2 linked regions of the Bombyx mori genome follow. The protein of the gene in region 2 interacts with the protein of the main gene of each other region in a biochemical or structural test. Links are inferred from orthologs where the notes say so. Each region holds a gene or a part of one and is shown on either strand. Other genes may lie near its edges.

The links. The genes of interacting proteins can lie anywhere in the genome.
Region 1: the proteins of Ubx (region 2) and homeobox protein extradenticle are reported together in a solved structure, tested with the Drosophila melanogaster proteins (2 studies listed by BioGRID). The link is inferred for Bombyx mori from reciprocal best matches to the Drosophila melanogaster genes Ubx and exd.

The regions. Positions count from the first base shown.
Region 1 is NC_085121.1:1,663,125-1,667,469, reverse strand, and holds the start of homeobox protein extradenticle, read left to right. Parts: upstream 1-1,531; coding exon 1,532-1,790; intron 1,791-2,063; coding exon 2,064-2,216; intron 2,217-3,287; coding exon of another isoform or gene 3,288-3,290; coding exon 3,291-3,451; intron 3,452-4,345. UniProt on the Drosophila melanogaster protein: Transcription factor which acts with the selector homeodomain proteins altering the regulation of downstream target genes such as wingless (wg), teashirt (tsh) and decapentaplegic (dpp), thus affecting segmental identity.
Region 2 is NC_085112.1:6,103,939-6,108,215, forward strand, and holds the start of Ubx (ultrabithorax), read right to left. Parts: upstream 2,844-4,277; coding exon 2,381-2,843; intron 1-2,380. UniProt on the Drosophila melanogaster protein: Sequence-specific transcription factor which is part of a developmental regulatory system that provides cells with specific positional identities on the anterior-posterior axis. Binds the consensus region 5'-TTAAT[GT][GA]-3'.

The DNA of each region.
Region 1 (4,345 bases), on a different chromosome or scaffold from region 2:
ACACATGTAAGGTTACAGATTTCGAATATTGGAATTATTTTAAATGTTTAAAACAAATAATTCTCTTCTTGTCAGTGAAGAAAATGACTTCTCATCTAGACACGGACAGAGCAACATCTAAGAGTTTTATAAAAATAAAATATTATAATGGCGTAATAGTGTACTAAGTATTTGCAATATGTGTTTTGTAAATGGCCCCTCACCTACAGAACCCAGTCCCCCTCAAATTTAACAGTCCAACACCGTCAGTTCCATAATTACTCATTGTCCCTCTTAAAAGAGGAAAAACAGGTGACCAGTGCAAAGTATCTTACAATATATATAGGAGTCTCATCATGCTTGCAGATGTTTAATGACCAACCAGGAACTCGAAATCGTAGATTGGAATTGCTAAAAAAAATTATAGCTGCAATGTTCAATTATTTTGTACGGCAGCAATAGGCGGGGTGGTGATAACTACCCGTGTGGACTCATTAGAGGTTTTACCTCGAGTAAGCAGTTAAACACATTAAAACATTTGTACCAAATTTTATTTTACTTTATTTTATTTTTAACTCTCGATGTCTCGTACAGTATGACAATTCTTGTGAATTTGAAACCATATCAAACGCGATAAAAAATAGTTTAATTTAATCGACATTTTAGAATTCGTCGAAGCCCCTTCTTTTAAAAGCAAACATTTATTCCTAGTTAATAGCCATGTTATTAAGTTATTAAAACAAGACAGCCGTTTAATATTAAAAGTACCTACCTAATTAAAATAAACACGTCCTTTCTTAATATCACTACGGGTAAACAAAGCCATTACATCATAAAACAGGAGGGTGCAGTCAATTTGATTGATGACTGATATGAATTTATATTTTTATTTGCTTTGCAAATGTGACAAGTGCTTCAAATAATCCTTCACCGGTTAGTGATTAACCACCTGTTTTATAAGTCGTGATGTGATCATGCACAAACCATTTGAGACACGGGCCTTTTTCGAACGACAGGTACAAATTAGCTTATTAGTTACTATGAGAAGTAGCTAACCATGGAAACCTCTCATATTCTGTAAGCACTTCTCAATATTAAGTGTATAATCTATGTTCTGCATAGTCCATAGATTAAACGTACTTTATGGTAGGTTATGGTTTAAGTTTTCAACTCTTATGTTGGCAGTGAGATCTGTGAGATAGCAGCTTACGCTAGACATTAATCTCAGCGGTTGTCTCTTTCTCGCTTTAATTTACTCTGTTCATAGTGATGAGATTGAGCGTGATAGGAACAGTTTTAACGTATAGTTTAATTGTTTGTTTTCTTTTTCCAGTGTGAAACATTTGATTACATTTGACAGCACAAGTACAAACTGGCACAAAGGGAGGCGGCCATTTTATAGTTGGTATTCAACGAGTGGAGTTTCGTTCTTCACGTTTACTTTGAATTTTGGTTTACCAATTGAAATTGAAAATCACGTACAAAATAAGTATACGTAATTAGAATAAGACATTAAAGTTATTTATGTATTGACTGTCAAGACCAGTTAGCAATGGACGATCCGAACCGGATGATGGCGCATAGCGGCGGAATGATGGGACCGCAGGGTTATGGGCTGCCTGGAGGAGAAGGCGCACCAGCCTCTGAAGGAGGCGAAGCTCGCAAGCAGGACATTGGCGAAATTTTACAACAAATAATGAACATTACAGATCAAAGCTTAGATGAAGCGCAGGCGAGAAAACACACGCTGAACTGCCATAGAATGAAGCCTGCTCTGTTTTCAGTACTCTGTGAAATTAAAGAAAAGACAGGTATTTATTGTTTTATCTCATCGATGGAGATGTTACAGATATAAATATTATATAAACATTAATAACATAAACATTTGATGTTAAACATAAACAATTTCTACAAGTTACAGAAGTTTGCCTTAAACAAGGGACATGTAACAACATAAAAGATAAAATCAGATACAAAAGTCCAAAACAAAAAATTGTTAATTATGAAGATTAAATTTTCATTTGAATCACGATTCCTATATATTTTGTAACTCTTACATCAAATAAACTTCCTATAATCCGCAGTGCTATCTCTGAGAAACACTCAAGAGGAGGAGCCACCTGATCCCCAGCTGATGAGGCTTGACAATATGTTGATTGCGGAGGGTGTAGCTGGACCAGAGAAAGGTGGAGGTGCTGGTGCTGCCGCCTCGGCATCTGCTGCGGCCGGTGAATGGGGTAAATTGAAATTGATTACATTTAAAAATTTCCAGTTGAAGTTCTTACAAAGGAATAGAAAAAAAATCATATATTAGTATTTATCAATGAACCCGTGTATAAATTTGAATGCTCTTTTTATATGATAGTTTTCCAGTCACCACATTTATTAACAATAGTACATTTGAAAGTTATCTTACCAATGAGTAATTTAGTTTAGATGTACTGAAAAAGCTCAAGGGTCTGTAGATATTCTTATCACAGTGAAAAGTGGTGAAAAGTGGTTTTAAAAAAGTAAATGTTCATGCATTACAATTATTTTGCCAAAAGACCTGTAAACTTAAATTAAAACTAGACTATAGATTAGATTTGGAAATATTTCATCATTTGATAATTTTTCAAGTAGTTCTAAAATCATATAATAATTAGGAAACCTTTTTGTCTTAATATTTACTAATAGTCTATATGTTTCTATGTTATGTCTAACTTATATTTATTAGTTAATTGCCTACCTTGTGTTATGGATAGGTAAGCATCACAGTCACGTAGAGAATATATATAGTTCATATAAAAATATTAATGGCATAATCATGTAGTCTGATCCATATAAATGGATATTTGGGTTAAATCATAAATGACTTCAAACTAGAATTCCCCTTTTGCAGGAGGAGTAGAGTTAATATGGCTTTCTAAATTTAAGTCTGTAATATATATTAGATACTCAAACAAACCTATTTGTCAACATTATTGGCCCAATGGGGGATTCCAACCAACAAAATTCAGCCTAACAGTCAGGGGCAACCAAGTCAAAGTTTTGATGATCAGTATTAGAATTGGCTGACATTGTAGAATTTTTCAAACATACAGATAAATGTCATACACTTCTAAAAATTTGGATATAAAAACCTTTTTTATTATTATTAAATACTAGCATTTCACTCTAATAACTTTTGATTGAATTGGTATTCAAGGAATGTCAGATTAAAGTGCAGTAAAAATACTAATTGCTTGTATAAATAGATAGAATAGAATTAAAAAAAAAAAAAAATTGTAAAGTAATGTCGTGCGGCAACTAAGTGACTGTTACTCAAGCAGATAATGCCATCGAGCACTCGGACTACCGTGCAAAACTGGCGCAGATACGGCAGATCTATCATCAGGAGCTCGACAAGTACGAGAATGCCTGCAATGAGTTCACTACACACGTCATGAATTTGCTAAGAGAGCAAAGTCGCACCAGACCTATCACCCCTAAGGTATTTTGAACAAAATTATATAAGCTGTCTTGTAATTAATAATAAGTACAGTTTTCAATAATAATAATCGCTACATAGTACAAAACAAAGTTGCTTTCTCTGTCCCTATATCTGTATGTATGCTTAAATCTTTAAAACTACACAACAGATTTTGAGGCCGTTTTTTTAATAGATAGAGTGATTGAAGAGGAAGGTTTATATTTATAATAACATCCATTACATAGTGGAGAAATTAATAATAAATTACAGTTTCCGACGCGAAGCGAGGGCGGGTTGTTAGTAATATATAAATTACTTTCTAACTTATACCTGGCCGATTGGTTGCGCTGGTTTAAAACTGTTAGTTTTAAGTTTCGAAAAATAGCAACATTTTAATTTGGTTTTGCAAATCCTGTCCCATCCCTCTCCGGCACTTTTACCTACGGATGCGTGCGAGCGAGATCGTGTGGTGACATCAAAGACGAAAAAATATGGCTGAACAACCGCGCGCGCGCTTCGTGTCTTTGTTATGTTAAATACGTAAATAAGTGAAATCGTTGGTGTTTCTCATCGCGGAGTGGTACGAGTCTGCAGCAAGGACTACATAAAGGTATTGTGCATCCTTCCTTTAACGCAGAACTGCCACTTCTTATCGTTTCTTCCCGCAGTCTGTGTCCTTCATTTGCAACGACCAAATTTCAAATATTTCGTAGTTTGCTTATCTCGCGTCTACATTTTTTGGTCCAAACGAGCCGGATTCGTATTAAATCAGCGCCAACCATTGCCTAGGTTACCTAATTTACCTAATATCATTAGAACCGCGTACCAAGTAGGTACTTCGAAAAAATATCGCTTTTCCTGCTTTCGTCTTAAATATCGTTTTCGTTCACATTATAATCACTTATTTACAATATC
Region 2 (4,277 bases):
ATATTTTTCAATATCAAGTTTTGAAGAATCGGAATGTGTAAAAGCCTCTACAGAACGAATGTGCACCAAGTAAGAAGAGAAAGATTCAAGTCGCTGTTTGAAGGGTCATAATAATTGTCGTATGATTGAAAATGAAAATTATTCCACCAAATAATTTTTCTTGTTTTTATTTTGTTCCATTTAAAAACCGCTTGTAACAAATTTAAAAAAAAGAAGTCCACGGCCCTGTAATTTAAGTCCTCAATTATATAGCAGTAAGATCGGGAGCATGTGATTGCAATTTCGAGCTTCAACTTATACCGTATTTATCGTTTGCTTCACTAAATTAGTTACATTTACAGCTCCACAATTTTTTTTTCTTTCTATATTTATAGGAATTTATACCAAATTACCTATGTTTTAGGTATTTATACCAAAAAAGGTTTACTTTACAGGTATTACAAATTAGCAAACTGTCCAAATGAACAGCAGGGACCGTTCATGGACAAGCCCGAACTTTTCATACATGCCACGTCCAACAAGCGTCCTTGTATTGTTTCGCGGCCTGTGTTGCGTGAACCCACAGTGAATTATAGCCGACGGTTCGACTTCTCATTTTATTTTGTTATTTTTTAGGCCCTGTTACTTAATTTTTATCAAGTCGCATGAATTATGACGAGGCGGGACCACACGCGTAGCATTAATTACTCGTCGCCGGCCCAGGTGAACTAATCGATTCAATCGAAATTCGAATAGGACTTCTTTTCCAGAAAAACTACTACGAATGAGAGAGAATCGATTCTTATAAGACTTAAATTCTAATCTATACCAACTAATATGCCGTATTAGATATTTTGTAAAACATTTTTAAAGCGTTATTTTATCTTTTAAGTGCATGAATTGAATGTTTACCGAAACGTATGTTTGAAGATTGAAGCGCTCTTAATGGGATGGTCATTTGTCGAATGGTCAGTGGCAGTAAGTTAATAATAATGCGCCCAAAACTAGACCGGGCCATTGACCCGGGCGGGCGGCGCGGGCGCACCTCTCCTGCCTCGTTGGGCCACTAAAATAGCGCTTTTTGCTTTACTTTATGCCTACACAATCAATTTTGAACCTGAAAAATTTCATCTTAAAGTATGTGTTAAGTATTGAAGGATTGTTAAACGTTTTATTTATTTTTAGATAGTAATAAAATAAATATACAACTTTTAATAATAAATAACTTTTATTTTATTTTATTTCTTAGCTTTATTAATGTATTTATAAAATTAATTTAAATTGTTATGGGTCAGAAAAGAGAACACAAGTAAATATCGACAACATATTTGTCTCTTTATTTTACATTCTCTCGAAATATTTTAGTGTTTTGTCGTCCGGTAAAAAAAGTAGGTATAATATGTTCTGCTAAATCTCCGTATAGTCCAGTCCAAGATTAAATCGTATTTTAATTCACAAACCTTGTTAGTTTTGTTCCAAAAAAAATTTTAAGACACGAGAACTTTATTTCAAATAATCCAGTTCCATAGCTCTATAATTTATATACCAGTTCCGTTGCTACGAACCATCAACATTCAGGAAGTCTACACCAAAGATTTTATGATCAAATCACTGATATCAATTTATCGTTACAAATTAGTAATTTGGAGGATCCTGAGTTTTGTCCGCAATAAAATTATTAATGGTACTCAAATCTGTCTCACTAATAAGGTGTTAACGAGGGTCGTTCGTTTTATGTGCTTTTTATTGACACTTGATTTGTCGGCTACCTGCCGGTTAGTATTGGACTCTTAGGAAACATTAATGGACGATTCTGAAGTGGCCCGATTATGTGTGCCAAACAGGATGGCAGCATTTTAGTGATTTTTACGGGGTATCGGACGTGACATATTTTTGTTACGCCTCTCATTTCCACTTATGTATATTAAATGTTGACGAGTTTTTTATGGGAAACGCAATATATTTTTAAATATAGAATCATAAATTTCAGTGATATTTGTAAACAAATATGTAATATACAATATTAATAGGTAGAGACTTCGGCAATTAATTTTATCAAAAAAAAAACTGCACCTACGATCGCAATAATACACTTCAATCGAATATGCAATTTCGAAAAGGGCACATGTCGCATATTTTGTCAAATACGTTTTTTCATATACATGTAGTTTTGAGGCTTACCTACACCCATTTTATAATAATTCCCGTAATTTTCAATTGCTAATTAACACTTAAAATATATTTCAAAAGTTAATATTTTAAATTTTACACTGCTTTAGAAAATAATCAGTTTTTTTTCATTTCCTGAACATTTTACATTTTCAGAGGTGTGCCCTTTTCGAAATTGCATATTCAATTTATATAGAGTTGTGATCGAGATAATTTTTTTTAACTTACTAACCTGCTATGGCCATCCAAGGGTAGAAAGTGTGGTTAGTAGGCTGCTGGTGCACTGGCTGCGCGGCTGATGCTGCTGATCCCGGAAGTGCACACTGGTTGCCCCACGGAAGCGCTCTACCAGGACTTGACGACTCACTGTATCGAGCTTCAGGAGTGCATGCTGCCGGCCTCACTAGTGCTCCCAGACCTGAGCCCCAGGCTTCTTTCCCACCATAGCCATTCTGCTGCTCACCGCCTGGCTTTGAACAATCTGCTTTAGGATATTGCTGCTCTCCAGCATAGAGCTTGCAGGCCGCCGCGACAGACGCGTCGTACGGTGAATCCTGAGGACGAGGCTGGTGCAAAGCGTGTGGCTGTGCATACGTGAGGCCCAGAGGGAAGCCGCGGTACTGGTCTCCACCACCGCCGCCCTGGTGCACTCCATGGGCCCCGTAAAAACCACCCTGCTCGAAGTAAGAGTTCATCGTGACCAGTCACAGGCACTAACGTCACTCAGGGAACACTTATGTCATCGCGGCCCCGCGCGCCGTGATAACGCGACCTCCGCCAATGTCACACCAAATACGGACAACGTAATTTATTTTTATTAATTTTATTGCCTCTTAAACGTCACTAAAGCGTCATAATGGGCTTCGTCGGCGATAAAGGCCAGTTGACGTGTGTTTACTTTTTACGATTATTTTACGACTCGGGAGCGCGTGCCGCGGGTTTTACGACTTTTTAAGCGGTTTCGTCTGCGGCGCCGGCTCGTCTCAGGACGTCAGCCGAGAGCGCGTCTCCACTGTATGAAATCAGAAGTGATCGTGGTGGTGTATGGGCCGGAGGCTTGTGTCGCGAGCGAAGTTTTCCGTCGCGTGTGGCGGGAGCGCGCGGCTGTGTGTCGTGTGCGACCGGCGCGACGCGGCTCACGCAATGTACTGAGCGCGGCTGAGACACGCGCGCCGCCCCGCGCTCACTGCTACCATCGCAGCCCAACGACTATTGTTCCGTCCCCTTTTCGCTAATCACTATAAATATTATCAGTTACGCTCTCTTTTCCTTTCCTTATCACACCCACTCGAGCACGTGGCGAACGTTCGTCAAACAAACTAGAACTTTAGCTGCTCTACTTCAGAATACCTAGGTTAATAACTGACATTTATATGACTTAAGAGAGAACTCAATAACATCAAATCCTATTATAAACTATATGTTTTCTTTTAACAATTTATGTATCTTCGGACGACCGCGTAACAAAACTTTTGAAGAGCCTCAACAAAAGCCTCAAAAATGAATAGAACGAAAAAGTTAAGCCGCAAAAGTCGTAAACTCATAAACGTACAATTAGTGAAACGGGCGAGTAAAGAAAAGATTTTACAGCCACTCGTCGACCGTGCCACAATGAGCGTTCAGTATCGTAACAAGGTGCTGAATAGAGTGAGAAGTCGTAAAGATGATTATTATTTCTTCTACTACCTGTTTTTACGAGTGATGTTTCTATTGCTCTCTTGCTTAAGGCGCCCGTTCGAGAGCGAAAGGGACAGCGCGTCGAGCGCGGAACGGTTATCATCCGAGCGGGGCTGATTAGTGTATAGCGGTCTTGGTCTCGCGCTGTGTAGCGCATGCAGTGGACAACGCACTATCGGAGGGTAAACAATAGCGCATTATCGCGAGTTCACTTCGCGCGACCAAATGAAGTCGTCAAACGAATGAATGGTGCGCCCTACCCTTAAGAATTGAACGCATTTTTATTGCGCCTTCGTATGTAAATATTTCCTTTAGATCCGGGTATTGAGACGTTTTTTTATTTATTTATTAAAAATGATATATGTAAAATGACAAGTTTAACACTTTTATTTTAATTAATAGATAATGGTGGTTTACGTTTCATGAATTAAATATACTTAAATTTTTTATGA